Linked DNA regions of Oryctolagus cuniculus. The protein of the gene in region 3 purifies or fractionates together with the protein of the main gene of each other region. This does not show direct contact. Links are inferred from orthologs where the notes say so. Each region holds a gene or a part of one and is shown on either strand. Other genes may lie near its edges.

Region 1 (4,247 bases), on a different chromosome or scaffold from region 3:
AATAAAATCTTAAAAAAAATCCTAACCACCCATGGGTATATAATACAATCAATATGTGATATTAAATGTAATTAAAGTCAAGCAGTATTGGGAAAGTCACATGGTAGAATCAATTCCCAGGGGTAGAGCGTCTGAGGGCTGCAACGACTGCGTTCTCTACTTGTTCACCTTCCCCAAAATTCCCTTTCTTTTTTATGTGTTTTTTTTTTTTTTTAAGATTTATTTTATTTATTTGAAAGAGAGAATTACAGAGAGAGGTAGAGACAGAGAGAGGTCTTCCATCCGCTGGTTCACTCCCCAGATGGCTGCAATGGCCAGAGCTGCACCGATCTGAAGCCAGGAGCTTCTTCCAGGTCTCCCAAGTAGGTGTAGGGGCCCAAAGACTTGGACCATCTTCTTACTGCTGTCCCAAGCCATAGCAGAGAGTTGGATTGGAAGTGGAGCAGCTGGGACTAGAACAGACGCCCATATGGGATGCTGGCGCTTCAGGCCAGAGCATTAACCCACAGTGCTACAGCGCCGGCCCCACAAAATTCACTTTCAATCTGGCAACTTTATTAACTGATCTTAATTTCTGATAAAGGACTGTTCTAGAGGCTAAACCAGAACAACAGTTTGAAGTGTTTGGTGTTGTAAGTAAACACATATGGAATTTAAGTACAGACCCCTCACATATTAAGGCCATCTTTACGTTATACATACTAGTTTGCATCTTTTTTAGTTGAGGAAGTGTTGTTGGCCTTCAGACTGAACTTTTCAGAAATCTAACTGTTCAGAAGCCATTTAAAAGTGAACAGAGTTAAATAAAATTAGCTCAGACTGTGATGTTCAGCTCAAATGAAGCCAAACTGAGGTTTTGCTGCATTCCTCTTGACCTTCTTTCCCTGCTGTATCTTGCTTGAGGATTTCACTGAGCAAGGGCTAGAAGCTTGGCCTCCAGACTGGTTTTATAACTGATTTCCTCAGGAGAAGCTCTAATTTCCAGGAGAAGCTCTAATCACTTTAGCTTGCACTTCAATAGGAATAATGGAGTATGTAGCCTGTATCACTGGGCTAACAGACACAAAATTTAGCTGGGGCAGGGGGACCAAACCTACCTTGAGATTTAAGGTAAATAACCATGTATCAATAGAAGAGGCATAAATAGTGCCTAGCTGTCATTATTATTTCACTGTTCCCTACTTTCATTTTCTCTTATAAATCAAAGGCAGATGGGAGTTGACAATTCTTCAGTTGTGCAATGTTAAGTAAAAGTAAATGAAAACAGACTTAGACTAAACAAGTCAGTTTAAAAAACCCAAGAAAGACTCCTCATTCCACAATTTATCTCCTTAAACTTTTCACCTCTACTCTTGTCATTTATTTCCATCTGAACTTTAGTGCTCAGCAATTCACTCAAAGTAACTTCTTGCCCTGCCAGCAGTGTCTACCCCAAACTGTGCCCTAATCTTCAGACTGCTGACTTCATGGCTGCTAGGAGTTTTTTATACTGGAGGCCTTAGAGGTGGGGCCCAAGTTGTTTTGGTCCATTCATAATCATTCGGGACAACCTGTTCTAATGGGTGTTCCTTGTACTTACAGGGGGAAGATGCCTTCTTGCTTATTAATCATTTTATAACTCTGCTACTTATTCTCGTTCATTCATACTACAGTTTTTGTACAATACTGAGCTTACATGGTTTAACTTTGGGACACTACTGCTGCTACCAGCCCCGCGCTCACATTATTAGTTTGTATTTGTTGACAAAAGCTGCTCTCTCAAAGTTATATAACGTTTGTTCTCCATCCAACTCCCTCCAACTCCCAGGAAAATTATTTCACCTCCAGCTCGGTAAACTGTCAAGACACGACTTTGCACACATATGCATCAACGCCGGCCACGAACCAAACCGGGGCAACTGAAAAGTGAAAAAGGCACTGGTGGGGGTAGTGAGGGGACGGTGCTGGCTGCTTCCTTGGTGCCGGCGCCGCGGCAGAAACAAGGGGTACGGTGAGGGTGGCATGCATGTCGGTGGCGGAGGCACTGCTCTGCTGATCCCGGGAACAGGAAGCTGGACGATCACACTACAAACACTCCGAGGCGTCCCCTTCTCTCCCGTCTTTCACGAGCCGACATGCAATGACCCATGTGTTGGGGACTTGGAGGAACGTGAGGGGATGGAGGTAGAGTGGAGGAGCTGCGACCTCGCCTGGGCAGAGGGGAAGCACAAAGGCTGCTAGTGCACTGCACAGCCCTGAGGGCTACTAAAGCAAGACCGGCGCCCTTCCCGGGCTAGTAGCCCACAAGACGGGGCCGGCGCAGTTGTCACCCCTCGTCAGTGCGGGCCGCTCCCGGATTCCCAGGAATCGTTCCTCCCCGCCCCAGGGGCGGCCTGCGCCGGCTGGACATTCCCGCCCGGGTCCGGGCACTCACCCCCGCGATCTCCTCGGCGGAACATTCCAGCAAACTGCGGTCGATGGCCTGCACCTCGGGCTCCAGCTCCGACGCCATCTTCTCTCCTCCTCCTCCTTCTCCTCCTCCCCCCCAGCGCTACCGCCGCCCTGAGGGCCGCAGCCTTGCCTCAGCCCCGTCAGCCGCGACTGCCACCTCTGCCTCAAGCGGTCAGACCCGGAGCCGTCCAGGCGGCCGCAGGTGGAGCAGGAGACAGCGAAGGGTGACGAGAACCAGACAGGTGGGACGGCGGCCTCCTGCGCTGCCTTCCGGGCTCAGCGCCCAGGAGTCAAGTCACTGCCTCGTCCCTGACCCTGGAAAGGACACAGAAAACCCCAGGCCTGGCACCCGCGCTGGCCACCGCGGCGTCCCGCACCGGGAAGGGGGCAATAACACCCAGGAGGGAAAGCAGAGCACTCTGGGTACTGTAGTCGCCCCTCACAGTCAGGAGGGTGGTGGCACTTATAGGGCACTCCGCTAGGGCACTATGGGAGTTGTAGTCCATCTTCCGAAGGGAGCCTGGGTGAGTGGCAGACAAGGGAGCGGGGCTTTTCTGCGCGATTAGAATCATGGGAAGTGACTAGCGAAAAGACGCACCCTCCAGAGAGAGGCAGAAGGGTAAGATCTTGTGGAAACTGTAGTCTGAGGCACAGAGTCTCGTTTGTTCGTTGGTGGATCTGCAGCTCCGAGAACACTGCGTGGCATGTGGTAGTTTTCAAATACTTGTCAAAGTCTGGCTTACGGCGGGCTCTCAAATGTTTATCACAAAAATGAATGAATTAGTTATATTCCTGTAGTTATATGGCTCTGTCATCCATCATCCCTTCATCCCTTATGCTAGTACCTCAGGTGAAAATTACCCTAGTGTTTGAACATTTTCATACTTGTTTTAAAGTTTTCAAGCAATTCAGTTATGACCACGTATTAGAATTTATTGCAAATCTAGATAAAGGAGCCTGTCAAGCGAATTCCAAGTTTTGCTCTTAGGAAGCCCATTTTATAGGAGTAGATAATGATTGTTAGATTTGGTACAAAATAAAATTATGTTTGGTTAAAGGTTGGCTTGATTGACAGTTGGGTGACTGGGCGTTCAGCCTCTTCAGAGTTTATCAGAAAAGTGCTTACGCATTTTATCAGGTATGCTAATTTATTCTCAGAAGTAGGGTGAGCATTACATCCAGGAAAAAAAAAAAAAAGTCCCAGACCAAGTTTGGTACATGTTGTGGTTGTTGTTGTTTTTAAAGACTTATTTATTTATTTATTTATTTATTTATTTATTTTTGTTTATTTGAAAGACAGTTACAGAGAGAGCAGAGAAAGAGAGAGGTTTTCCCTCTGTTGGTTCACTCCCCAGATGGCTGCAATGGCCAGGGCTGTGCCGATTTGAAGCCAGGAGCCAGGAGCTTCTTCTAGGTCTCCCATGTGGGTGCAAGGGCCCAAGCATTTGGGGCATCTTCTACTCCTTTCCCAGAGATGCATTAGCATGGAACTGGATGAGAAGTGGAGCAGCTGTGACTTGAACCAGCACCCATATGGGATGCTGGCACTGCAGATGGCTTTACCCGTTATGCCACAGCACTGGCCCCTGCTCCACTCTTTAATTTGAGTTAACTTGGAGGAAAGCTGAGATTGTCACATCTAGAAGCTAAGCATATTTTTTGAGGGAATGTCCTAGCATGGAATTTAAGCCATTAAAATAGATTGTAAAGGAATTTTCACTTTTAGCATTATTATTTTCTTCCTCCCATTGCTTTTGGGTTGATATTAATGTTCTTTTTCTACATTTTTTAGTAGGGTTTCAAGTTACTAACCTTTC
Region 2 (4,127 bases), on a different chromosome or scaffold from region 3:
CATGGGAGGAAAGCTAGTTACCTCGTACCAAAGCGATCAAACCAGTGGTTCCTCGCATAGCAAGCAACACATCTGGAGAAAGGTCAAACTCACCACCTGCCTATGGCCTATGGGAAATGAATGGCAACTAAATGGCACATTCTGTCTCGATGGCTAAAAGGAGTTTAACTGAATAATCAGCAGAGTTAGAATGACAGTGAACACCTCGCCAAGCTGTCACAGCAGCCAACCAGGTGAGAAGAAGCAAAAACAGAAGGAAACCAAGTGCCCACAACCTGGTATTTGCTATCCTCCGGAATCCTTCCACGCAAAACCCCGGATCGTGGGGATTCGGGAAGCAGAGCGCACCGCCGCGGCCACAGCTCCACCTGCTGAGTACCTTCGCTTCCTCCGGGGAGCCTTCCGGCGTGGCCGGCCCTACGGGAGTGGCCTCAGGTGGGGGCCCGAGGAGGATGCGGCGGCCTTCCGTCGCCGGCAGGCAGGGTGAGGTGGGAGACAGGTGCTGCTTAGCTTTGGGCAGGGGCACTGAGGAGGAGGAGAAAGGTCAAGTTAAGGCAGAGAGAAAGCGGCCAGGAGCCGGGTTCCCCCCTGCCTGGGCGCTGACTCACCGCGTGCCCGTGGACAGAGCCGGCTGCCTCGCTCGCGTCTCTGGGCCTCAGCTTTCCTATCTGTGAAATGGAGGCGACGACAGTGTCCACATCGTCGGGCGCGAGCTGGGTCACGGCAGCCGGCGGCCGCCCAAGGCGCTTCGTAACCTGCACGGCTTGGGAGGGAGCACCGCGTCGATTACGGTCCTAAGGCGAGGCAGCGGCTACCCGGGCGGGGTCCGGAGCCGTGACGCTGCCGAGGCGCCCGGGCGCCGCTCTTCGGCGTGCTTCTCCCAGCCTCTCCTCCCGAGGGGTCCCACCGCCCAGGCCCACGCTCACCCCTGGACCCCAGAAACTTTTGCCTCCGGCTCGCTCCACCCGCACGCCCTCTCTCTTCCCGCCCTGCAAGCCTCTCACTCACCTGCCGGCCTAGGGCCGGGGGGTGGGGGAGCCGCATCTCTATGGTCGGCGGCGGATGAGGCGGCCTCCCGGGGCGCCCTTTGTGCGACCGCCTCCGGCCCAGCTGCCTCTAGGACATTGGGGATATGGAGGCCACTCTTTCTTCCATTTGTCGGCCGGCGGGGTACTCTATGGTCCCCCCCGTCGTCGTCGTCCTCCAAACCCACAAGCCCAAGGCGTACCATCGAGAGTTGTGGGGCAGAGTGGCATGACCTTCTTGGTGGGTGTGGCGGGAAGTGGTTGAAAGAACCCGGGGGGGCGGGGCCAAGCAGCGCTTCCCTCAGGCACTGAGAGGTGAAACCATCGAGACGGAGGGCCAGAGAGTCATGGCGGTAAGGGGGCGGAGTGGAGAATTCTTCCACACCACGTTGCTGGAGGCGCGAGCCGAGGTGTGCTGGGGATTCTGGAAGGGACTTCTGAGCGTCTGGCAAGGACCGGGAGCGGGGAGAGCTTTGTCTGTGGCCTCGCATGCATGGGTGTTTGGGGCTTATGGCTTCCGCTCTGAGCCTCCATGGAGGTCACTACTGTCAGTACACCCATCCGTGCCTAGCGCTGAGCCAAGTTGCGCTCGAGGGGCAACAAGGCTGTGAGAGTTTGCACGTTTGTTGAATCGGCAGTATTAAGCGCTAAGCCATAAAAGGTAGGTGGGCGCTGTGTTGTGGATAGCCTTTGAATATAGGCTGAGGAGTTTTCCGGGTCAGGTCCGTTGGGAGTCAACCCTTGAAGGTACTGGTGTAGAGAGAGTGCTGGAATCGGAGCCGAAAGATCTGGACCCCTGTGTGGTGTAGCTGTTGGGTGATGCAGGAGGTGGCGACCCATTGAAATGCCATTTCAAGAATTCGTTCACTTTTCTTTAAAAGATTTATTTATTTGAAAGAGTTACACAGAGAGAGAAGGAGAAGCAGAGAGAGAGAAAGAGCGCTCTTCCATCCACTGGTTCACAATTGGCTGTAATAAATGGCCGGAGCTGTGCTGATCTGAAGCAAGGAGCTTCCTCTGGGTCTTTTGGTGCAGGGCCCAAGCATTTGGGCCATCTTTTACTGCTTTCCCAGGCCACAGCAGACAGCTGGATCGGAAGTGGAGCAGCCAGGACTCGAACCAGTGCCCATATGGGATGCTGGCACTGGAGGTGCCAGCCCTGAACTCGTTCAGTTTTAAAGGGGCAGGTTAGGTGGGAGGTAATAAAGGTTTAAATCGGGCATTAGGAACTGGGCACATAGGGAGATGGTATTTGGACTCCTGCTAGTGGACACAGGCCACTGGGTTGCTGACAGGTCAATGAAGACTCCTGCCAGCCGGGCCCTTTCTATCTCAGCTGGTCCTTGTGATCGCGAAAATTTCACCCATTCGTTACCCTACTGTGAAGCTGGTTCCTCTGGCGGGAAACTGAGGTATGGGCAGGCGAGTGGAAAGGGCTTGGAATCTCAGCGACAGAGAGACCTGAAACCCCCGGGTGGTGAGGACCCATCCTTCCTGCTCCTGCTGGAGGTGGGGGTGGGTGGGAGAAGGGACTCTCCTTGCCACGCTAACCTTGTGCTCTGTCCCCTCTTGTCCTCTGCTCTCCACCTCTAGGTTTTGACAACGCCGCAGGGCGCGTAAGGTTCAGTGCTGCCCTCCCAAGATGCCACTCTCAGACTTTATCGTGGCCCTGAAGGACAATCCCTACTTTGGGGCTGGCTTTGGGCTGGTGGGTGTGGGCACAGCCCTGGCCCTGGCCCGAAAGGGTGCCCAGCTGGGCCTGGTGGCGTTCCGGCGTCACTACATGATCACGCTGGAAGTCCCGGCTCGCGACAGGAGCTATGCCTGGCTGCTCAGCTGGCTCACCCGCCACAGTACCCGAACTCAGCACCTCAGCGTTGAGACGTCGTACCTTCAGCACGAGAGCGGCCGCATCTCCACCAAGTTCGAATTTGTCCCCAGCCCTGGGAACCACTTCATCTGGTAAGGTTTTGTGCTCTTGGAGGGCTCTGTCTTGCGAGGGAGCTGGCTTTGACCCCTTCCTTGCCTCTGACCGATCTTTTTCAGGTATCAGGGGAAATGGATCCGGGTAGAAAGAAGTCGGGAGATGCAAATGATAGATTTGCAGACGGGGACTCCCTGGGAATCCGTCACCTTCACAGCCCTGGGCACCGACCGCAAGGTTTTCTTCAACATCTTGGAGGAAGGTGTGAGATGGTACAGGTGACCTCTTCAGGGGACTGCAGGGATAGGGACACGTGACATTGGGAGGAGGCAGCTTGGAGGGAACAAGATTTGAGTCAGGGGCTCAGGGCACACACAGAAAGGAGCCATCTTGGCATAGCTCGACCTGACTGAACGGTCAGCAGTCGTGAAGGGAATGCCCACCTTTGGTCTCTCCACTCTCAGCCCGAGAGCTAGCCTTGCAGCAGGAGGAAGGGAAGACGGTGATGTACACAGCTGTGGGCTCCGAATGGCGCCCCTTTGGCTATCCACGCCGCCGCCGGCCCCTGAGTTCTGTGGTTCTACAACAAGGTCTGGCTGACCGAATCGTCAGAGATGTCCGGGAATTCATTGAGCACCCCCAGTGGTACACGGATAGAGGTGAGAAGCGGCTGGGGTCTTGGCTAGGCCGGTTCTAGCGGAGGAGAGGGGCTGGTCGCTTGCCAGATGGGGCGATGCGAGGCTCTGCTCTGATTCTCAGAGGTGAATGGGGAAAGCAGGTTTCTCCCCACAGCAGGGCTGGTAGGTCCTGACCTCTGGGGCTGTATCCCTAGGCATTCCCTACAGACGTGGCTACCTGCTTTATGGCCCTCCTGGTTGTGGAAAGAGCAGTTTTATGTGAGTAGTCAACATTCTCTTAACTCTGCAAAACTTAAGTCTTTATGGAACAGCTGGGCCAGAGGGTGGAAAGGGAAATGAACCTGGTGGCCAGAGAGCGTTAGGGTGGATGGTGGAAGAGTTAGGTCTCTGAGACACATCTCCCAGGGCTGTGCGAAGAGCAGCTGGGCCCAACGAGGAGTTCCAGGGTCGCCTACCTGCTCCTGTCCTGCCACCTTCCACAGCACAGCCCTGGCTGGGGAGCTGGAGCATAGCATCTGCCTGCTGAGTCTCACGGACCCC
Region 3 (3,640 bases):
TTCTGCACACGCGTTGGGTTCTTGGTTTCCTGGGCCTGTGGCTTTCCCAGACGTGCAGCTGGGCAAACCATGTGTGCCATGGACGGCGAAGGCCTCCCAGCCTGAAATGATGAATCTGTCTCCCTCCCCGCCTGCTGCAGAGTTCCCCACATACGGATTCAACTGCGAGTTCGGCTGGGGCTCACACAAGACCTTCTGTCGCTGGGAGCACGACAGCCACGTGCAGCTCCGGTGGAGTGTGCTGACCAGCAAGACCGGGCCCATCCAGGACCACACAGGTGCGTGGCCAAGGGCTCCTGCCGGCGGGAGGGGTGCTCCAGGGCCTTGCTCTCGTGGGCTAGGAAATGCCGTGCACGCCCAGTCGTGCCTCTGTGTTCTGGAAACGGGCCCTCCGCCTCGAGGAGGGCACAAGGTCAGGAGGCCGACTTCCCACCCAGGAGGACGGCGCCAGGGCCAGGCTGCATCAGTCTGCTCACTTCACACTTGCCCTGGGGTTCTGATCACGGACAGTTCCAGACATACTCAAAAGCAGAGGCAAAGGGCACCATGAGCTGGGTGAGTGACCAACCGAAACAGCCCCAAAGCACAAGGCGAGGCTGTGTCCCTCTCACCCCGAGTCTAGAGTATTCCCCACCAAGTCCAGGCATCTTCCGTGCCCCCTCACTTATTTGACAGCTACAGACAGTAAGAGAGCCCGGGGCTTCCTCATGGGGGAGGCTGAGGGTGTAGACCTCAGCCAGCCCCCGCTCTGTCTCCCTGTAAGAGGCAGTGGGGGCAGGGCTGGCGGCGGCTACAGTGAGCTGCCCTATCCAGCCCACCCCATTCTCCTTGGCTGGCCCCAGCCCGTCCTGCCAGACCTCACTCGAGCTCGTCCCTGCCGTGCCCTGCGTGAGAGCGTCTGTGGCCCGTGGCTGGGCAGGACCCTCACATCACTCTCCTTGTCTTCACTCCCTCCTCCCTTAAGGAGACTGAAGGGGCTGCCTTCTTGCCTAATGAGAGTGACAGGGAAATTGGATAAAATTGGGCTCCTCAGTTCTGACACACTTCCCATTGAATCTTAAGACAAGCAGTTTTAGAAAACTTAAAATACTTTGACTGTAAATGGCATCAAATTAACTAAATGCAATTAGCCCAGATGAAGGCAGTAATGGTGGGAAAATTGATGCAAAGTGGGGCCTAATGGTCCGTCAGTCCTGACACTCAGAGGTTAGGACTCTGAAGCTCAAAAGCTGGCAGAGGGAGAGTGCTAGTGACAAGTGTTTCCAGCCCAGACCAGAGCGGGAAAGCCTCAGAAAGGGGGCAGCTGAGAGCTTGCCCTGCCCACTGCAGGGCAGCTGTCCCTGGCCAGCAGGAGGTGAGCCCACGGGGCTAATGTCAGTCAGTGCCGGGCATATTTTTGTAAGGCTACTGGGTGGAACGTTGCAAAGCAGGCACTGGGTTGTTTTAATACAGTCTGGGTAAAAGATCCTGCTATCCATTGTTTTAATTTAAAAGATTTATTTATCTGAAAGAGTGACGGACAGATCTTCCATCCAATAGGCCAGGCCAAAGCCAGGAGACAAGAGCTCCATTTAGGGTCCCACACTGGGTGGCAGGGACCCAACTACTTGAGCCATCACCTGCTGCCTCCCAGGTGCACATCAGCAGGAAGCTGGATCAGAAGAAGAGCCAGGACTCGAACCCAGGCTCTGATATGGATGTGGGATTCCCAAGCAGCAGCTTAACCATGGCACCAAACACCTGCCCCAGAAACAGGTTTTCAAGGAATCAGACAAGTTCTGTTTGCTGTGGGTGCCAGCTGGCTTCTGCCTACCCTCGGTGAGGAAGCCCAGGATGGTGCATTCCTGTAAGACCTGTGGGAATCCATGCTGCCCCCAGCTTCCCTGCCACACACCCATTCCCAGATGTTCACAGGATGGCCTCGGGCACCCTTCTTCCCTCTGCTGAGCAGAGAGACAACAGCGCATACCCCAGCCACCTCCCTCACCCCTCTGTGTTTGTTGCTACAGGAGACGGCAACTTCATCTACTCCCAGGCTGATGAGAACCAGAAGGGCAAGGTGGCCCGGCTGGTGAGCCCCGTGGTGTCCTCGCAGAGCAGCGCCCACTGCATGACCTTCTGGTACCACATGTCCGGCTCCCACGTGGGCACACTGAGGGTCAAGCTGCGCTACCAGAAGCCTGAGGAGTACGATCAGCTGGTCTGGATGGCCATCGGGCACCAAGGAGACCACTGGAAGGAGGGCCGTGTGCTGCTGCACAAGTCCCTGAAGCTTTACCAGGTGTGGCCATGTCCTGGGCTGGGGACTCAGGGCTGGGGTGAGGAGACGCAAGGGCTCCTACAGCGACGTCTGCCCCGAAGACGTCCTCCCTGGAGCCCAGCCCCATGTGCTGGGAGAGAAGCTGCCTCTTGCCAACAGTCGGCCACCACCATGTAGCACTCCTTCCATTTGCTGCCTGTTCCCTGGATTTTTCTTTTTAAAGTTGATTTATTTGAGAAGCACAGATGCTAAGCCAGAACTCCATCCAGGTCTCCCACATGTGTGGCAGGGACCCCCACTCACCTGCTGCCTCCTGGGGTGGGCATTAACGTCCAGTGGAGGATGTGGGCAACTTAACCGCTGGGACCAATGCCCTCCCCACACCCCTTCCATAAGTTTGAATTCTGTGCCATCGCCGGCAGCCAGCACGGACTGCTGGGCCGAGTGCTGGCATTCGGGCTGGACTGCACGTCTGTGCCCTGGCTCAGGCTGCAATCAGGGCGGCCACTTACACCCTGTGAAATGTTCTCATTCTGGCAGGTGATTTTTGAGGGTGAAATTGGCAAAGGAAACCTGGGTGGGATTGCGGTGGATGACATCAGTATCAACAACCACATCTCCCCAGAGGACTGTGCAAGTGAGTATGACTGCCGTGGGTACCAGTGGGTATGTGCCCCAGCGGGAGCCTCCGTGCTGATGGCTCTCACCCACTCACTCACACCTGGTGGCATAACAGGGCCTGAAACCAGCCAGTTCACCCTTAGCTGCCCCATCACCTAAACTGGTTCATTCAGAAAGTCTGATTGAAACCCAGAAAACCTGTAAGTAACATGGAATCCAGCAGAGAAGACAGGCTTGCTGCTGACACTGCACTGGCCACAGCAGTAGTGACAGAGCTGGAAGCTCAGACACCCGTCTCATTCCACAGACCTGGGCTATAGCAGGGCGACCCTTGGGACTTGATAAGATGACACTGTTGATGAGTTGTGTAAGCTTTATGGAAATTGTGTAGGTGTTTCCAACTCTGAAAAGAGCTGACACAACTTAAGAGAAGCAGTGAGGCCCAGAGACTTTGTCTCATATGTGGAAGCTGGTCTTGGTAGGCCCGGCCCCACATGACGAGGTAACTTTACACTCCTGCTCTTGATGCAGAATTGCAAACAGCCTCACTACAGGCAGTGGTCAGTCTGCAGCTCCGTCTGCTGCACAGAACCTTTGCTGGAGACCATTACATCAGAGGATATTAATTACAGCAAAATGGAAAAAACCTACCAGGCAAATCTAAGACAAAGGGGGCCCATAGGCTATAGTGGGTCTCTGGTCACTCCACAACTCTCAAAGCTTTATTACACAATATAGTGACTACAGAATCCCTGCAGT
Region 4 (4,151 bases), on a different chromosome or scaffold from region 3:
TAAATAAAGCCCTCTGTCCCCCACTGGAGTTTGAGACCTGCCTCTGGCTCCCAGCTCCAGCACCTAGCTAACAAAGGCTCCAGAAACTGGGCTCCTGCCATTCCTGTGGCACATCTGGACTGAGTTCCTGGTTCCCAGCTTCATTCTGCCCAAGTCCAAGTGCTAGCCCAGTCCTAGCTATTGCAGGCATCTGGGGCAGGAACAAGCAGATGGAGTTGGTTCTACCTCAGATCTCTGTCTCTCTCTGTCTCTGTCTTGTCTCTCTGGCTCTTAAATATATAAACAAACAAAAAAATTCTTTTAAATAATCACTCAAGCTTTCCAATCCACACCAAGAACAAATGACTCTCCAGGCCTAAACTAGCCTTGACCTTGCTGGGCAAATAAGAGGGTATGAGCAAATCTGAGCGAGTATGAATAAAGAGAGAATAAGCAAATATCCCGTGTAAACACCCAGTGCAATGAACCTCTGCACCCTCATGTGCACAACGGCAGGCGAAACCAACAACTGACTGCGCGTGTCTCCACACACCCACACAGATGTGCAAAATCGGCTGCTGACCAACTGTACATTTGCTGATGGCTAACACAGCTTTTTCAGAAAAACACCTGGAAATTGAATGACATCAATCAGTCTCAGACAGTAGTTGGCCGACACTGGTCCGGCCTTCCTGGGTTTGGAGCCGTGCGTCTGAAACTTTAGGCTGTGTCCCCCAGATCCACAAATTCGCATGTGAACAAGCATTTCAGGTGCCTCTAGCACAGAGGGCTCGCCCTGGGACAGTGGCAGGTCTTGGCAGTCAGCCATGTTGAATTCATTCGCAGGACACTTTTCCATATGAAGACAGCATACCCACAGCAGGAGAGAAGCCTTCCCTTTGTCTGAGACAGGAAAAAATGAACACAATTCAAATAAATGGACACAGCTTTCAAGCCTGTGGGAAACCCTAGGTTGAGAAACACACTCAAGGCAGTAACTTACTACAACTCGCACACAAGTCTGAGTAGGAAGACACCTGTTAATTGGGCACATTGGTGTGAGACCAAAAAAAAAAAAAAAAAAAAAAAAAGCAGTAAAACGAGTAGGCTCTCAATAAGCTATGCTCACCCCCAGCACCAAGCTATGAACTCTTGAAAGTCTCCCAAAAGCCATTACTACAGATCCACTCACATTCTAGCTATGCAAATTAGCTATGCAAAAAAAATTTTAAGCTATGCCTTCTATTCACAGGAAGCCAAGAAAACACCAGCGTATTTGAGTCCTGTCTGCAATGAGAATCCATTCCACAAGGCTGTGCTAACATCAACTTCATCTCTGCAGGCCGGTGCTCAATTTTTTGGTTTTTCCCCACTAAGCTTCATTCATTGTCACGGGCAAGGTTGAGTTCTTACTCTTTAGGAAGGTATAAGAAAATAACTGTTAACAGGTGCACGTGCCAGCACTCAATAAAAAGCCCTTCTACGTTCAAATCCCATAACCAACGTTAATTAATTTGTGCACTGTTACCCTTCCAGCTCAAGGCCAGGGAAGCAAACCAACAGTTCTTCTGTCTCTAGAATTTGATGGCACCAATTACAGCCCAATCCAATTAAGCAAGTCACCCGCTCCCAAAGGGTAGCCGCACATTGTACAAGGGCAACCTGATCATCTAGGAGGCACCCCAGGCTTACAGGCAACCCGCTTCTTTATGGGATACAGAGCAGCCACATGTCTCAGGCTCCCGTTCCCCTCCCAGAACCGGGGTTGGGGGAAGAGTGTCCATGGTGGAGCTGACCCTGATGAGCCGAGTCATTATCAAGAAAATTCTATGAAGGCAGACAAAGGCTCTTGGGACTGCGAAGGAGTGCCAGCGACTTTGAAGGCATGGGAGCCATTGTTTCCAACCAAGTGTAAGGAACTTTTTCCTGGCTTTGTTTGACTTTTGTTCCTTTCTCTGATCCTCCTCCTTTCTCACCCTCCAGAGGGTGGAGATCTGAGAGTCAGAGGCTGGGACTGCAGTACAGAGTGCAGCGCGCTGCGCAGAGGAGGGGTGAGGAGGAAAGGGGGAGGAGTTGGGGAGAGAGAGGGGACAGCGACCACATCAAACAGATGTGTGATTCCCATCTTGAAAGAGGCAGGAGTTTAGGTGGCAAGGAGAGTGGCCAGTGACACTGGCACCAAGCCCCGCAGAGCAAGGTTTCCGAACTTGAACTTCTGTGTGCTAATCCCAAACCCTCCAGCCCTTTGAGAAATGTCAACTTGCTCTACAAGGGAAGCTGTTACTAAGAGACCCTTGGGGAAGCCGTCACCGCCCCGGGGTTCAGCTCCGAGGTCCCCTTCTTCTCTCTGCGAGGAGAGCGGCGTCCGGCACCAAAGAAAGAAATCAAGTTTCCTGCCCTCGGAGCCCAGCTCCTACAACGACTGGGAGCGCACTAGCGTTCGAGCCGCAGGGGAACCGCGCGCCAGGGCCGGCTGGAGTCCCGCAGAGGCGCAGCCGGACGCATGGTGCGCGCCGGGGCGGGAGTGGCCAGCGCAGTCCGACCGCGCCTTGCAGGCTGCCCACTGCCGCCTCCCCGGCGTCCGAAGGTGTGAGCGGCACACCCTCCAGAGAAGGCGGCGGTCCGAGAGCAGCGGCGTGGGAAAAGACCGGGGCGAGAGCTCCAGGGACCACTTGCGGCGCGCACGCGGGCCGGCGTCTCAGCCTCGGCTTCCCGGTTGATAACAGCAAGGCGCCCAGGTGCCGAGTTCCAGCCTGCGAGTTGGCTCGGGCCTCCTGGGCATCCCCATCTCTCCGCCCGCCCCGACCTCTCCACCTGGCTCCGAGGGAGTGGGCTCCTTACCCACAGAGGCGGCCCGGGTCTCCACGCAGAGCCACAGAGCGACGGCCAGCAGCGCCCTGCTCGCCATCCCGCACCTTGCGCAGGGCGCGGTGCCCTGAACTCGCGCGCCGCCTCTGGCTCCCGGCGCCTAGCCCCGCGGAGAGGGTGCCCCGAGGGGCGCGGGCCGCCTCGGAGCGCGGGACCCCGGAGCGCGCAGGGCAAGGGCACTGCGGGTGCGGGCAGGCGAGGAAATCCTGGCTGCGGGACTGGCTCAGGGCTTTCTGTGGAGCGCCCAAGGGATGGCCCGCGCGGGCGCTGGAGACGCGGCGTAGGCACTGAACCTGAGCTCGCGCGGTCCGGACACTCAGCGCTGGGTGGGAGCCGGACCCGAAACTTAGAGTGTGGGGGCGGGGCCGGGGCGGGGCGGGGCGGGGCTCCCTGTGCAGCCGGCTCCACCCCCTGCCCTGGTCCTGGGCGGGGATCCGGGGCTCCCCGCGCCTGCCCCGCCGCGCGTGGCCGGGGCGGGGAGAACGTCCCTGCGCAACAGGTCGGTTTCAGCTGCACGGAGACGCGGCGCGCAGCGGCTGTGGGCCACTCCGAGGCTCAGTCGGTGCTGGCCTCCGAGGTTGGGGAGCGTCGCCCGGAGCGCAGGAGCCACACGGCGCCCTCGCTAGGCGCGTCCGAGCTGTCGGAGCTGATCCGGAGTTCGGGAGCGAGTGGCGGGGCTCCCGCCGGTGGCCTTGGGGTTTTCTGTCCGAGTGCCCGTTCTGCCCGCTTTAGAGCCCGCAGCTGAAGTTTTAAATCCGAACTTGGATGCCTTTAAGCAGAACGCCCACTTGCGCAGTTCGCGACGGCCCGGCCATTGCATCTTTTACCCGGAGGTCTCGGGTTGCCTGCAGTTACCTGCGCAGCCCCCAGAAAGGCGTTCGCGTTGGAGATGTCTGCTTGCCTCTGCCCTAGAAACCTACAGCGGGAGTCCGGGAACGCGAGGAACCCAGTGCTCGTTCCACGGGGAAGCGCCGCTCCGGAGCGGGAGCCCCCCGCGGGCCCTGGGCCAGCTCCCTGCCCAGAGCAGAGCTTGCAGCCCGGGCGGCTCGGGCCTCCGGCGGGCTTCACCGGGGCAGCCCCGAAGCCGAGGCCAAGCCTCGAGGCTGTCCGCGCGCGCTTGGGCCTCCGTGCGCTTCTGAATACGCACCTTGCGTCTGGCGTTCTCCGCGCTTCTGCGCACACCTGGAGGGTGGCGCCAGGTGTCTCCTACCTTCGTGAAATGTGGACTTCCCAGGTGCAGGCAGGTGCTTTAAAAATGACAATGTGTGAACGTCCTTCAGCGAAAGGAGGAAGCAAAGTGACCC
Region 5 (3,640 bases), on a different chromosome or scaffold from region 3:
GGACCTGGGCGGCAGGGACCGGGACTTGAGCCTCGGAAAGCACCAGGCTTTGTGGGGAAGGGGCCCACCAGGGTCACGCAGCCTGAACCAGCAACGCCGGGCTCTCGGGGGAGCTCACACTTGACCTCCCCAGCTGGACTCCCCAGCAGCTGCCCAAACAAGTCAGCAAGAGGCCTGCAGTGGCAGAGGACAGACCCTCCCCAGCTGCCCGGCCACGGCCCTCCTCGGGCCTGGAGGGGGAAGGGGGCAGAGTGGGGGAGGGAAGCATGGAGGGACCTCTTCATGACCAACACACGATTCCTTGTTCTGGCCTCAGTTTCCCTCCTGTGGGCCTGGGGTGGGGAGGCAGCAGAACAACGGCGAGCAGGGATTTAGGGAACCCCCGCGTCCTGGGGCTCCTCCAGCCGAAGCTGCCAGGCAAAGGTGTGCCCGGGCACAGGAGCACAGGGGAGTCAGGACCGGAGGAACCTGTCCTCCCAGCCTCACCGGGAGCCTGCGGGCGGCACCGGGCCTGTCTGCCCCCCTCCCCCGCCAGCCCACCCACCATCAAAGGGGACGCTCCCAGTGCTGGGAGCCGAGTGGAGGTGCCCGTGGGAACATCTCCAAGCTGACAGCACCCCAGCTTCTACCCCAGGCACCAGGCACCAGGCACCAGGCACCAACACGCACGGCGGGGGAGCCACAGGCCCCTGGGCGGCTCCGCAGCCTGTGTGTGTGTGTGTGTCTCTTGTGTGCCAAGCGGGCGTGCCCACTGGACAGCGGGGAAAGGCCCTCACGCCACAGACACGGGACCCGGCTGAGGGCACCGGACAGTGCTGAGCCCACCAGGGTGACCCCAGCCCCTGGCCGCTCAGCCCAGATCACAGACATCTGGGTTCATTTCACAGACTGGAAGACTAGGTGTGGGGGTGGGGGGTTCAATTCCCAGAGAGCGGCGGACCTGACTCCCGGGGCGACCTCCACGGCAGAGGCGGAGCGGCCAGGAGGCCCTGGCTGGCGGCAGGCCCGGCCCCACCCACGGGTGCACGCCGAGCTGCGTCAGCGCCAGCCTCAGCGGCTGTTATTTCATCCCCGGGCCCGCCCTGCTCGCTGAGCCCTGCTGCGCCCAGCACCCCCGCCCTTCCGTCCCCCTGCGGAGCCTCCTCTAGCGGCTGGGCCTGCCCTAAAGCCGAGTCCCCACCAGGTACCACACGCCAGGGGGCCCGGGCGGCTCCCCTCTGCCCACGCTCTCCAGGAAGCCTTCCTGGCCCAGCCCTCGGCCCAGCTCAGCACAGGCATGCCGCTCTGGGAGAGAACTCAAGGAGACACACAAGCCACCCCAGTCCCCTCGCCTTGAGGGGCCCTGAGCAGGGCCTTTGGTCCCTCCAGTGCCTGGTTACGTCACTCCCCTGGCAGCGGCCCGGGGCAGGGTGGGGGCAGGTGCATACCCTTACCCTGCCCTTGGCCTTGCCGCCTCGCGCAGGCATAGGCTCCTGCAGGGCAGTGCTGCCTCAGCAGACACCGGATCCGCCAGGGCTCGGGAGCTGGGGCCCGAGGGGAGGGGGCTGCACGGCCCGCCCTGCCCCCACCCCCACTCAGCCTCCCTGGAGCTCACGGAGCACTCTGGAGGCCTCAGCATCCCCGACCCCAGGCTGCTGCACAGGCAGGCTACAGGGCCCTGAAGGGTTCTCGCTCATGGGACGGAGGCCTGCCCAAGCCTCCCTCGGTCTCAGGGCCCTGCACGTGGCACACGGCATAGGACACCTCCCAGGGAGGCTTGGCTCCTGCAAGACCCTGGTGAGCCGAGCCCCTGGAGGTCCCTGGGCCCAGCCTCTGGCACTGGCCAGACCTCGCGCCCTCCCCAGACTCTGGCTTCCCAGGTCACAGAGCGAGGCTGCCCCTCCACCTGGGGAGCCCCACCCACCCCCACGACGCACCGCAAGCCCGCCCGGGCCTGACCTTGCGGATGCGGCCGCTACGAGTCCCGGCAAACACCACGGTGCGGCCGCGGTAGTCGTAGGCAGCCACGGCAGTCAGGCCGTCCTCCTTGTCCACGAACAGGGGTGTGCCCTCGATGGTGACCGTGCCCCCCAGCGGCTGGTTGAAGTCCTGCCCGCAGAAGTCGTCATCAATCTGCAGGGGCTGGGAGCGGACACAGGGTGAGCGTCACAACTACACCGCAAACACCTCCCCCAGGACCGGGGCCTCCCAACGCACCAGGCCAACTCCACCAGCTGGCGGAGAGGCAAGCACGCAGCCGCAGCCACAGCCAGCGCAGTTCAGCGGAACACGGATTCCTGGGCCCACGTGACACACGGAGAAACCAAGGCTCAGGCAAGCAGCCCCAGGCCGGGGCCCGTCTCTTCTGCTCCCACCCACCCAATCTGGCCCTCTGTGGAACACAGCTTGGGGAGCGATCGGCCCCCAAACCATGGGACCTGGGGGGACGATGGGAGGAGGAGCCAGGCCCACTGCACTAGGGACCCTGACACCCACAGTGACAATCGGACAGGAAGGAACAGCCTCGAGTCGGGGTAGGCTGTGAGCTCGCTCCTCGCCCCACAGAGGCTGGCTCAGAGAAGGGACGGCTGCAGCCACGGAGGGCCCAGGCCCGGCCTTGGGGGGCTCACTTTGGATCCTGAGCAAGGCCCGCGCCCCCTCGGAGCCTGGGGTCTTCCTTGGGAAGACAGTGGTTCCTGCTGCCCGGGAGGGTAGAAGAGACCCTCCCCCCGCAGTGGCTGGTACCAGACCCACCCTTGGGCGGCACCTGGAGACAGGGGGCGGGTGGCTGTGGCTGTGGCTCGGCAGCCCCAGTGTTGGGGCCGCCGTCTGTGAAGGGCACAGACCACAGCCTGCACACGCCTGTCAGCGACTCTCAGTGCTACAAGGGCGGCGGAGCCCAAGGAAACCCGAGGAAGGAACCAGTGCGACAGAGATGGTGTCTGGGGCCTGCCCAATAGGGTCTGGTCCCAGGTCTGCACCTACTGGCTGGTGACCCTAGGCAAGCCCCCCACCTCTCTATGTTGTAGACTAGAGACAAGCCAGAATGGGTGGGCCGGTGGCGCAGCGAGTTTAGCTCTGCCTGCAATGCCGGCATCCCCCGTGAGTCCCCACTGCTCATTCAGACCCAGCTCCCTGCTAACACGCACGGGAAAGCAGCAGAAGATGGCCCCAGCGCTTGGGCCCCTGCACCCACGTGGGAGACCTGGATGAAGCTGCTGGCTCCTGGCTGTGGCCTGGCACAGCCCGGGCTGTTGCAGCCTTTTGGGGAGTGAACCAGCAGATGGACAATATCTCTCTTTCTGCTTCTCTCTCTCTCTCTGCAATGCTGCCTTTCAAATAAATAAATCTTTACCAAAACAAAACAAAACAAAACAAAACAAAACACAACAACAAAAACTAAAAAGGCTGAAGCGACAGGCACCCAGCCGAGCCTGCTTTGAGGGAGGCAGAGGAGGAGCCGCCCCGTGTCGCGGAGCCATGGCAGGAGCAGGGCCTGGCACACGACAGGTGCGCCCGGGCGCGCGGCCCGCGGCCGGCGAGGCTCACCGAGTTGATGCAGCCCAGCTCCTTGTTGAGCAGCCAGGGTAGCGAGAGCTTGCCCTCGCCGCGGTAGCACGACTGGATGCGCTCCTTGATCTTCTCCTTGATGGCTCGGAGC
Region 6 (4,316 bases), on a different chromosome or scaffold from region 3:
ATCTGGACAGAAACGCTGCAGGGCTTTGGAAAGCATACAGAAGGAGTGTAGTGTTCAGCCCTGGAAGCAAGGTGGTTCACGCCGCACCGTGAAAAGAAGCAACAAGAAACGCTTCATCAACTGGACACCAGAGGGGCCTGCGGAGCTCATTCCAGAACACTGGAACTTACTCTGGGCGCAACATGAAGATCCCGCAATCCAGCGCCGAAGAAAGCTGAGAGGGAAAAGCAGGGAGCAGCAGTGCTGGTGGTGAGCTGGCTGAGTTTCTTTGTGCCTGGGCCTCTCCTTTGTAAAAACCACCTGTGGCAGTCTTCATATTGAGTTCCCTAAAACATCCCAGCACGCTTCAGAGAACAGGAAAAACTCTCTAGTCACCAGGAAGTGCTGTGCAAGGATGACCCAGGAGCAACGCGATGCTCTCCTGGACAGACAGGCATTCACACACACACCTGAACGCTGCGCCGTTCAAAGAGGACACAGGAAATGGCACTTACTCTAACAATGCTGCTGTTGCACCAAAGTTTAGACATTTTTCTGGAACTGCCTCAGAGTCAGCACTCATTCTTCCAGACAGACAGCTGGGGAATACGGCTATTTCTAATTCCAACTTCAGCTCTGCTTCAAGTCAAAGCAGCCTGCAGTAAAGCATTTTGCTTATGTACACAGAGGAATTACATGGCCTCCCCAGGTGACTGCCTTGAAGGAACACCATTTCTTCACATATTTATGCTTGTTGGGGTGGGGGGAGGCCCTGGGACTTCACTGGTGGCTCATATTCAGGGGAGGGGGCGCCAGTCTGCAAATCCCTAACACCCGTCCCTCACTTCATGTGCCCAGCGTCTGACGGCACAGCGGCCTCTGCCGCTTTCTCTCTACCAGAATCCTGCTCCTCCATCACCGGCTAGGACAGCACTGAGCGAGGCTGCTGGGCACGGTTCTGAGAGGCGGCTCCCAGAAAGCCTGAGCCCGGCCTGAGAGGACAGGGCCTCCCCGCACAGCCTGACATGCACAGGCAGCTTCTGAGCCCCACAGCCCCCGCCACAGACCCTCTCCAAACACACGTTCAGGGATCTGGCGATAATGAAGACCCATGACAGCTTCTAAGAACAACTTTGCAGGACACCCAGTAAAACATTATTAAAGCCACACAGTTACCTGAAGCCAACTCTTCAGGCTCATTACGTCTTCACTCAAGAGATAACAGAAGGCCTATCATCAAACTTAAGATTGCGAAAGCAGACATCAGACAGTTTTGTTCCAACAGCTTGAGTGATTAAAAGTGCCTTCTAACTCCAGTTTTACTAGCTGATAAGCAGCTCCAGGGCTCCCAGCACTCCCTGCGCCCCTCAGCTGTCCCACCTGAAACTTCACTGTCAGAGGAGAAACAAGTGGTTATCACCCCGAGGAGTTTCCTTCCCCTTGGCTCCAATTTTCTCCAACTTTCTTTGTGGACTAACAAACACAGCGCTCAAAGAGCCCTCGGATCCATGGAATCTCCATGAAAAGGCTTTTCTTCCCTCTGAATATTTATTTATTTTGTAACAAATGGGGCCCTTTTGGGATTTTTGCTTTGGGAACCTCTAATTTACATTTTAGAACAAGGGTGTTCCTGATCCGTTCTGCTTAGATTTAAGGCCGGTCTGCGTGTTTTCTTAAGTCCAAGGAAAACGGGGTGGGATCCGGGCGTCCTGGACAGAAGAGACATAACGCAAGAGCCGGCACAGCTCGTTCTAGAAACGAGGCTCGGGTAACTCACGTCCTTTTGGCCTGTGGGGGAAAAAGTTACAAACCACTTATAGGAGACTCACCTTCAGAATTTTTACAACCACTCTCTCATTGTTGGTGATGTTAATGGCCTCAAATACTTCGCTATACTTTCCCCGACCAAGTTTTCGAACCAGCTGGTAATCATCTTGATTACTGTGAGAGGCAAAAGACACACATAAATGCTGGGCCTTGGGGTCCGCCGAGCCTATGCCCACGATACGCCCCGGCCGGCCACTTCCACGAACCAAGCGCTTGGAAGTGTCTATAATCCATGCTGCAACTCAGTCCCTATATGAAAGCTACAACACACACCAGGCTCCTGCTGCTCTGCAGGGCTCCCAACCTAACTGGTCCCTTGTAACTTGGGGGTAGACGCTCTGAGTCCATCATCCATCTCGCAGACCCTGGGAGCACTCCGCCCTGCCCGCGGTTCCACAGCACCTGCCCCCTATTTCACACCCCGAAGGTAGCCAGCGCCAGCTCTGAGAATCTGCACATCTTTCGAAAAAATCCCCCCCACCCCGCCTCGTGTCAGAAAACTAAAAAAGCAGCGCATTTTCATAGAAGACAGCTGTTGACTCCCCACCCCGAGAGAAACCCCCAGCCTGAGGGGCGGCTGCTGCCTCCCTTCCGCGCTAGGCCCTGGTCCCCCCCCCCCCCCGCCGGAGGGAAGGGGCAAGAGGGGTGCACAAAGCTGGGGGCGGGGGAGGAACGGCCGCGGGTGAGGGAAGAGGAAGAGGAGGACATGTGCGAGGTGGGGGCCTCTGCCGCCCAGCCCAGCCCTGCCCCGGCGAGCGGCCTGCGGGAGGCAGATCGCGGGGGCCGAGTGCGGTTTGCGCCGGGGGGCGGCCCGGCGGGGGTGGGGGTGAGAGGCCCCGGCGGGGGGCGGCGGCGGCGGCGGCTTTACCCCCAGCTCGGGACGTGAGCCTCGTAGTCCCAGTAATCGCGGCTCCTCAGGCTGTTCACTTCGGCGTAGACCCGGGCCCTGCTGCCCGCGGCCGGGCCGGGCATGGCGGGCGGGACCGGGGGGCGCCGCGGGGCGCAGAGGGCGGCGGCGGCGGCGCGGCGGGGGGCGCGGGGCGGCGGGCGAAGGAGGCGGCGGGCCGCGGGGCGCCGGAGGAGGAGGAGGAGCGCGGCGGCGGGCGGCCGCGCCAGGCCGGGCCCGCGGGGGCGGGCGGGCTGGGGGCGCGGGGGGCGCCGGCCGAGCCGGCCCGGCCCTGGAGCAGCCGGCGGGGCGGCGGGGCGGGCGGCGCTCGCGCTCCGCGGCGGCCTCCGCTCGGCTCGCGGCCCCCAGGCGGCGGCGGCGGCTGCGGCGACGGCGGCGGCGACGGCACCGGCAGCGGCAGCCACCGGCCGGGAAAGGGGCAGCGGCGAAGAAGGAGGAGGAGGAGGAGGAGGCGGAGGAAACCCGGAAAAGGGGCCGCGCTCACTAGGAGCGGCCGCCGCCCAGCCCGGGGCCGCCCAGGCTCACAGCGCCCCCTGCAGCGTGGGGGGACCCGCGGGGCGGTGCCGGCCCCGCCCCCCGCCCCGGCGCGCCGGTCGGGCTCTCCGCATCCTGGGGCTGGCCGGGTCTCTCCCGCAGGGCCACCCCGCCTGCCGTCGGCTGCCCTTGAGCCCTTGAGGACTGACCCCGAGACGCCCACCCCAAGACCGTCACCTCTGGTCATCCAGACCTTACCCACCCCAAGACCTCCCGCAGTACCCGGTCTTGATAGCCCTGTTACCCAACCGCTCTTCCCCAGTGACGCACTCTTCAACCGCAGAACCTCCCCCACCTCAAGATGTCCCCTCCCCTCGTGTGTGTGTGTGTGTGTGTGTGTGTGTGTGTGTGTGTGTGTGTTTTAATCCCTTTTCCCCGCTGTGGACCCTGCTCTGTCACTCGCAGACTCCTTGTCCTGAGACCCCATGCTCCTTCATCCCAAGTCTTCCCCACAAAACCCCTCTCCTACACCGTCCCCCACGTTCTCTTCCAGAGCCTTCTCTGAACGTCCACTTCGGTCACTTGGTTAAGCTGGGGTGGCCAGTCTGGCCTGTTTTGTGCCTTCTAGCCCTGAACTCTCTTCTCTCCTGCATCTTCTGGGTCTTCCTTGTGGCTGGCTCCCCCTTCTGCCCCACTCTTAGCGGCCCCTCACCCAGCCAGCCAGCTCTGACTCCCATCCTTTTTCATGCTGCTTCCTGGATAAGGCCCTTGATGGAGTTCAGCATTGTAGATTACCCTGCCGCCTGGGCATCCCGCATGAACTCTGGTTGGGGTCCTGGCTGCCTCTCTCTCTCTCTCTCTCTCTCTCTCTCTCTCTCTCTCCCCCTCCTTCCCTCCATCTCCTCCTGTCTGTGACTCTGCCTTTCAGATAAACTAAATCTTTAAGAAAAAAAGACCCAGGGCAAGCATTGCAGTGTGGAAGGTTAAGCCACCACCTGTAACACTGGCTTCTCGTTTGGGCACCAGTTTGAGTCCCAGCTACTCCACTTCCAATCCAGTTCCTTGCTAATGAGCCTGGGAAAGCAGCAGAAGGTGGCCCCCAAGTCACTGGGCCCCTGGAATGCACATG
Region 7 (4,301 bases), on a different chromosome or scaffold from region 3:
TATAATTTCAGTGAGCCAAAGATAGATTTTGTATAATCAAAGCTTATGCAAAAGACCAGGCTAAGGAAAGGGAATTAGGAATAGGAAAGAAAATAGGAACAGAAAGAAAATTCAGCAAAAGGATGTATAGGGAGGAGCCCTTGGCCTGGAAATAGCCCAAGGAAAAATTCTGCTCTATTAAATTATCAAGAAAGTGCAAAAGTCTGTAAAGGAAATAGAAGTAGAAAGGGGTTTAACACAAATTCGGTGCTGACAAAATCATTTAAAGAACTGGAGCAGCAGAAGGCAAGTGCCTCTGGAGTGACTGTTCAAGACCACATCACCACAGCCCTGATCCAGGTAAGAGCGAGCCTCTGATAGCTGCTGCCTTCAATTTCAGCTTAACATCCGTGAGGCCACTGGAAGACTCTGGAATTCCAGGCAGCATGCTAAACAGAAAGGACAGCAGGAAGACAGTCTGTACCTCATTTCCAGCTAATTAGTTTTGGTTCTGTTGCTGATCTATCATTTTTTCTAAAGAAACAATCACTGTAAGTTCTAAATCACTAGCTCAAGAACCAATTTTTCAAAAATACTCAGTTTGTAATTTGGAGCCCTTGTCCTTGAAACAACCAACAAAACAAACAAAATGAACTACCAAAAAATTCCCCCCAAAGAAAAACTAACTGAAACAACTCCTTGGAATCTGTTTTATAGTTGCGAATTTCATTTACCACTGCCTCAAATATCTGTACATCTCAAGTTATTTCCACCATTGTCAATGGCAGTGCAAAAATTTTAAATTTCATTCACAGGACCACCAAAAAGCTAGAAAGCAGTACTTCATGATAATATTGCAAAGAAATGATATATCTAAAAAGCAATATTTTTGCTTGTTTTTGGCTTCTTGATAAGAAGTTCTTCTTTGGTGCTGATGCATTAAGCAATGCATATCTCAGGTGTGATTGTCAATGACTGTATGTAGGTTTACAGTACATAAATAAACCACAAGGTATAAACCAAAATTATAAAAATAACTCTTCTAATGGAGCCCAAGAAAAGGAATTTCCACGACATGCAATGACGGAAGCAGGTATGCAAAAGTTTAGTCCATTTTCTAGGAAACATGGTTCACTCTTTTGTTTCATCCTTTTTCTTGTGTACCGTGAGCAACTTTGGTAAGACCAGAACTACTGATGAAGTCCCCATCATCATAACGATGCTCCCTTACAACCATTTGAAAATTTACTGTGGCAACTTGGGCACAAATGCATCCCCTGCCCTCAAGGGAGTTCCCGTGGCAGTTTTCTTCTCTTTTCCAGTTGAGCAACTAAACTAAAGTAAGAGGAAACCGAGCCCTTTAGTTATTGAGTCACGGTACAGTTAGCGGGAAAACCACCAGGAAGGGAATCCGGAAGATCTCTGTTACCAATGATTTGCTTCAGTCACCATCTCTTATACTGTCACACATATATTTTCAAAAAACACACTCCACATGGCCATCACACCTAATGCTAAGGAAGCTCTACTTTGTGTACCCAACACAGCAATTTCTGCTTCCTAAGTAACACTGCGATAATAGAAGTTATGCTTTATCTATTAAGGCGTTTAGTGATGATACTGGAGTCTGTGAAACGTGACAAAAAGGACAGATGGAGAAGGACCAGAAGAGACGGGTATTATTGTCTTAACAATATAGGCTGTAGGAAAGGCCAACAACCATTTGAATTCCCGTCTCTTCGCGTGATCCTAAAGATGACTTATCTCGAGTATTTTTGGAGATCTAATTACAGTCTTTGCTGGTGAAAATCCATTCTCTGTGTAGCTCAGTTTTTAAAATAAGCTGCCCACTGTCACACTAGATTTCATGAGATCAAACTCGGAGAGTTAAAAAACAAAACAAAAACCAATTCCCTTTTCCCCTACTGGGGCTGGCCCCTTAAACTTCTTTCCCTTTGGTGCTAACAGAAAGCAATTTCTTGCTTTCTCACTGTGTAAATGAAGCTCAGGTGTCATCTGGGTTCCGGCGAAGCGCCTGCTCGGGGACAGCCCCCGTCGGGCCGTGTGCTGTTGGGCCAGCTGCAGCGCACGCGGCACAGCGCGGCCGCCCGCGGGAGAAACACCCGCACCTTAGGGCCCCGCGAGGCGTGCGTCCCCACCGCAAGATGGAGGGCGGGACCGGAGCAGAGGGCCCACTCGCAGCTCGGGGGAGCGGACACCAAGTCGAAAAAGAAGTGTTTGCGCGAGAGGCTTTGAAAGCAGCCGCCGTACGGAGGGCATTTCCGCAACCCGGCGCCAGCCCGGACCCCTCGGTCCGACGGCGGCGACCCCCGACCCCGCCCGGCCGCGCCGTCCAACCGCTCCTCCCGATGGCCGCCCGAATGCCGAGGCCACCAGCGCCCCACGCGGGGCAGAGTCGAGAGGCGGCCCGGCCACTTCCCTCCGTCGCCGGGTGGGGCTCCTGACCCGGCCCGGCAGCGCCGTCGCCGCCCCTCCCCGCCTCACCTGCTCGCTCTCCGCCTGCGGCCGCCGCCCGAGCCGCCGCGGGCTCGCCCCGGGCTCCCGCTGGGTCCCCGCTGCCGCCGCCGCCCGCTCCGCCAGGGCGTCCCCGTCCTCGTCACGCTCCCCGCCGCCGCCGCCGCCCCGCAGCAGCTCCCCGGCCGAGCACATCCCGCCGTCTACTCCTGCCGTCCCGGGGGCCACGCCGCGACGCCGCCCGCAGCGGCCGTCACCCCGGGATCCGCGGCGCAGGCGGCTGACAGGAGCCTCCGAAACGCGCCCGGCCGGCCTGCGCGTCTGAAGTACAGAACCAGCCCGGCCCCTCCTGTCACCGGCTCGCCCCGCCCGCGGCCGCCGGGGCGGAGCCTGCGGTGGGCGGGGCCAAGGTGGGGGCGGAGCCCACGGGGGCGTGTGGGGCGGAGGAGAGAGAAAGTCTGCAGCGTGCGTGCACAGAACAGATATCTGATGGAGATTGTGGACGGTGAGAGAGGCTGTGCGTGTGTGTGTGTGTGTGTGTGTGAGTGAGAGAGAGAGACTATACATAATACATGGGTAGTGTGTGTGAGCTCCTGTGTGCGTGAGACACCTAGAGACAAGTGTGAGAGCTAAAGCTACACTTGTGAGACTGTGTGTATGTGAGACTGCGTTTGTGAGTTAGGAAGAAGGGTGTGTGGGTGTGTGTGAAAGAAGCAGGAGAAACACGTGCACGAGCACACACACACGCACACACACTCCACTGCTCTCTCCGGCCACTGTCTCTGTGCTTGCCTGGCCTTGGAATGTGCCAGTTTGCTGCTGGCTGCCTGTCTGGAAGCGGCCCATCATTTGCCAGGAATACACAGTTCTTTTTTTTGGAACCTAGGAATCATGTGGTGGTGTATCTGCCTTTGTGTGTGTGTGTGTGTGTGTGTGTGTATTGTTTATTTGACAGGTAGTGTTATAGACAGTGAGACAGACAGAGAGAAAGGTCTTCCTTCCACTGGTTCACCCCCCAAATGGCCGCCATGGCCGGAGCTGCGCTGATCCCAAAGCCAGGAGCCAGGTGCTTCCTCCTGGTCTCCCATGCGGGTGCAGGGCCCAAGCACTTGGGCCATCCTCCACTGCCCTCCCAGGCCACAGCAGAGAGCTGGACTGGAAGAGGAGCAACCGGGACTAGAACTGGAGCCCATATGGGATGCTGGCGCCGCAGGCGGAGGATTAACCAAGTGAGCCATGGCGCCAGCCCTGTATATTTCTATAAATGAGCAAAAACGTGTCTCAGTAGGGGATAGGGGAGGAATATCCAGTTAATGACTTTTTCTTACTACTCTGTCCATTTTGTTAAAGGGAAATTGAGGGATGCTTAAATAAAAGGCCAGATTTTTCTGTCTCTCCTACCTGCATATAGAAAAAATGATGATTTATTCTACAGATAAAATATTGGGGTGTCAATGGTATGAAAAAGAATGAGTTATTTGAGGTTTCCATTAAAGTGTGTTCAGGCCCAGAGGAGGAATTAAAATATGCTGGAATTCCTAGGCTTAATGTAAAGAACTGTTTCCTGGGTTTGATCAGGAGCAGCTCAGTGTCCTGTACGCACACAAGCTCTCGTGTGCACATGATTTGTGTGGTACGCATGCAAGCTCTCATATGCAAACTCTCAAGTCTGTTAAGTACATGTCTTGCTCTCACACACACTCTCTCTAGGGACTAGAAAATATGCTTTTTGTTCTCAAGTTAGACAGGCAATTAGTTGGATTTAATTCCTTTCTTAAAAATGTTTCAAATGTCAGAGGAGAGTATTTAAGATTATGTGTGTATAATCAGAAGCCAGTGTCATGTAG

The links.
Region 1: the proteins of NRP1 (region 3) and UBR2 purify together in Homo sapiens (affinity purification with mass spectrometry; 3 studies listed by BioGRID and IntAct, counting the BioPlex papers as one, with this or other methods). This does not show direct contact. The link is inferred for Oryctolagus cuniculus from reciprocal best matches to the Homo sapiens genes NRP1 and UBR2.
Region 2: the proteins of NRP1 (region 3) and BCS1L purify together in Homo sapiens (affinity purification with mass spectrometry; 3 studies listed by BioGRID and IntAct, counting the BioPlex papers as one, with this or other methods). This does not show direct contact. The link is inferred for Oryctolagus cuniculus from reciprocal best matches to the Homo sapiens genes NRP1 and BCS1L.
Region 4: the proteins of NRP1 (region 3) and KDR purify together in Homo sapiens (affinity purification with western blotting; 7 studies listed by BioGRID and IntAct, with this or other methods). This does not show direct contact. The link is inferred for Oryctolagus cuniculus from reciprocal best matches to the Homo sapiens genes NRP1 and KDR.
Region 5: the proteins of NRP1 (region 3) and PLXNA1 purify together in Homo sapiens (affinity purification with western blotting; 4 studies listed by BioGRID). This does not show direct contact. The link is inferred for Oryctolagus cuniculus from reciprocal best matches to the Homo sapiens genes NRP1 and PLXNA1.
Region 6: the proteins of NRP1 (region 3) and CSNK2A2 purify together in Homo sapiens (affinity purification with mass spectrometry; 5 studies listed by BioGRID and IntAct, counting the BioPlex papers as one, with this or other methods). This does not show direct contact. The link is inferred for Oryctolagus cuniculus from reciprocal best matches to the Homo sapiens genes NRP1 and CSNK2A2.
Region 7: the proteins of NRP1 (region 3) and FAM241A purify together in Homo sapiens (affinity purification with mass spectrometry; 3 studies listed by BioGRID and IntAct, with this or other methods). This does not show direct contact. The link is inferred for Oryctolagus cuniculus from reciprocal best matches to the Homo sapiens genes NRP1 and FAM241A.

The regions. Positions count from the first base shown.
Region 1 is NC_091436.1:127,374,486-127,378,732, forward strand, and holds the start of UBR2 (E3 ubiquitin-protein ligase UBR2), read right to left. Parts: upstream 2,871-4,247; 5' UTR 2,492-2,870; coding exon 2,414-2,491; intron 1-2,413. UniProt on the Homo sapiens protein: E3 ubiquitin-protein ligase which is a component of the N-end rule pathway.
Region 2 is NC_091434.1:20,774,651-20,778,777, reverse strand, and holds the start of BCS1L (mitochondrial chaperone BCS1), read left to right. Parts: upstream 1-1,249; 5' UTR 1,250-1,378; exon of another isoform or gene 1,379-2,437; intron 2,438-2,618; 5' UTR 2,619-2,667; coding exon 2,668-2,987; intron 2,988-3,071; coding exon 3,072-3,211; intron 3,212-3,413; coding exon 3,414-3,608; intron 3,609-3,781; coding exon 3,782-3,845; intron 3,846-4,069; coding exon 4,070-4,127. UniProt on the Homo sapiens protein: Chaperone necessary for the incorporation of Rieske iron-sulfur protein UQCRFS1 into the mitochondrial respiratory chain complex III.
Region 3 is NC_091444.1:108,709,492-108,713,131, forward strand, and holds part of NRP1 (neuropilin-1), read left to right. Parts: intron 1-140; coding exon 141-278; intron 279-2,009; coding exon 2,010-2,281; intron 2,282-2,800; coding exon 2,801-2,897; intron 2,898-3,640. UniProt on the Homo sapiens protein: Cell-surface receptor involved in the development of the cardiovascular system, in angiogenesis, in the formation of certain neuronal circuits and in organogenesis outside the nervous system. Mediates the chemorepulsant activity of semaphorins.
Region 4 is NC_091439.1:109,274,445-109,278,595, reverse strand, and holds the start of KDR (vascular endothelial growth factor receptor 2 precursor), read right to left. Parts: upstream 2,888-4,151; coding exon 2,821-2,887; intron 1-2,820. UniProt on the Homo sapiens protein: Tyrosine-protein kinase that acts as a cell-surface receptor for VEGFA, VEGFC and VEGFD. Plays an essential role in the regulation of angiogenesis, vascular development, vascular permeability, and embryonic hematopoiesis.
Region 5 is NC_091441.1:109,964,096-109,967,735, reverse strand, and holds part of PLXNA1 (plexin-A1), read right to left. Parts: coding exon 3,529-3,640; intron 2,122-3,528; coding exon 1,939-2,121; intron 1-1,938. UniProt on the Homo sapiens protein: Coreceptor for SEMA3A, SEMA3C, SEMA3F and SEMA6D. Necessary for signaling by class 3 semaphorins and subsequent remodeling of the cytoskeleton. Plays a role in axon guidance, invasive growth and cell migration.
Region 6 is NC_091449.1:41,552,306-41,556,621, forward strand, and holds the start of CSNK2A2 (casein kinase II subunit alpha'), read right to left. Parts: upstream 2,925-4,316; 5' UTR 2,779-2,924; coding exon 2,675-2,778; intron 1,921-2,674; coding exon 1,809-1,920; intron 1-1,808.
Region 7 is NC_091439.1:52,823,042-52,827,342, forward strand, and holds the start of FAM241A (uncharacterized protein FAM241A), read right to left. Parts: upstream 2,823-4,301; 5' UTR 2,650-2,822; coding exon 2,485-2,649; intron 1-2,484.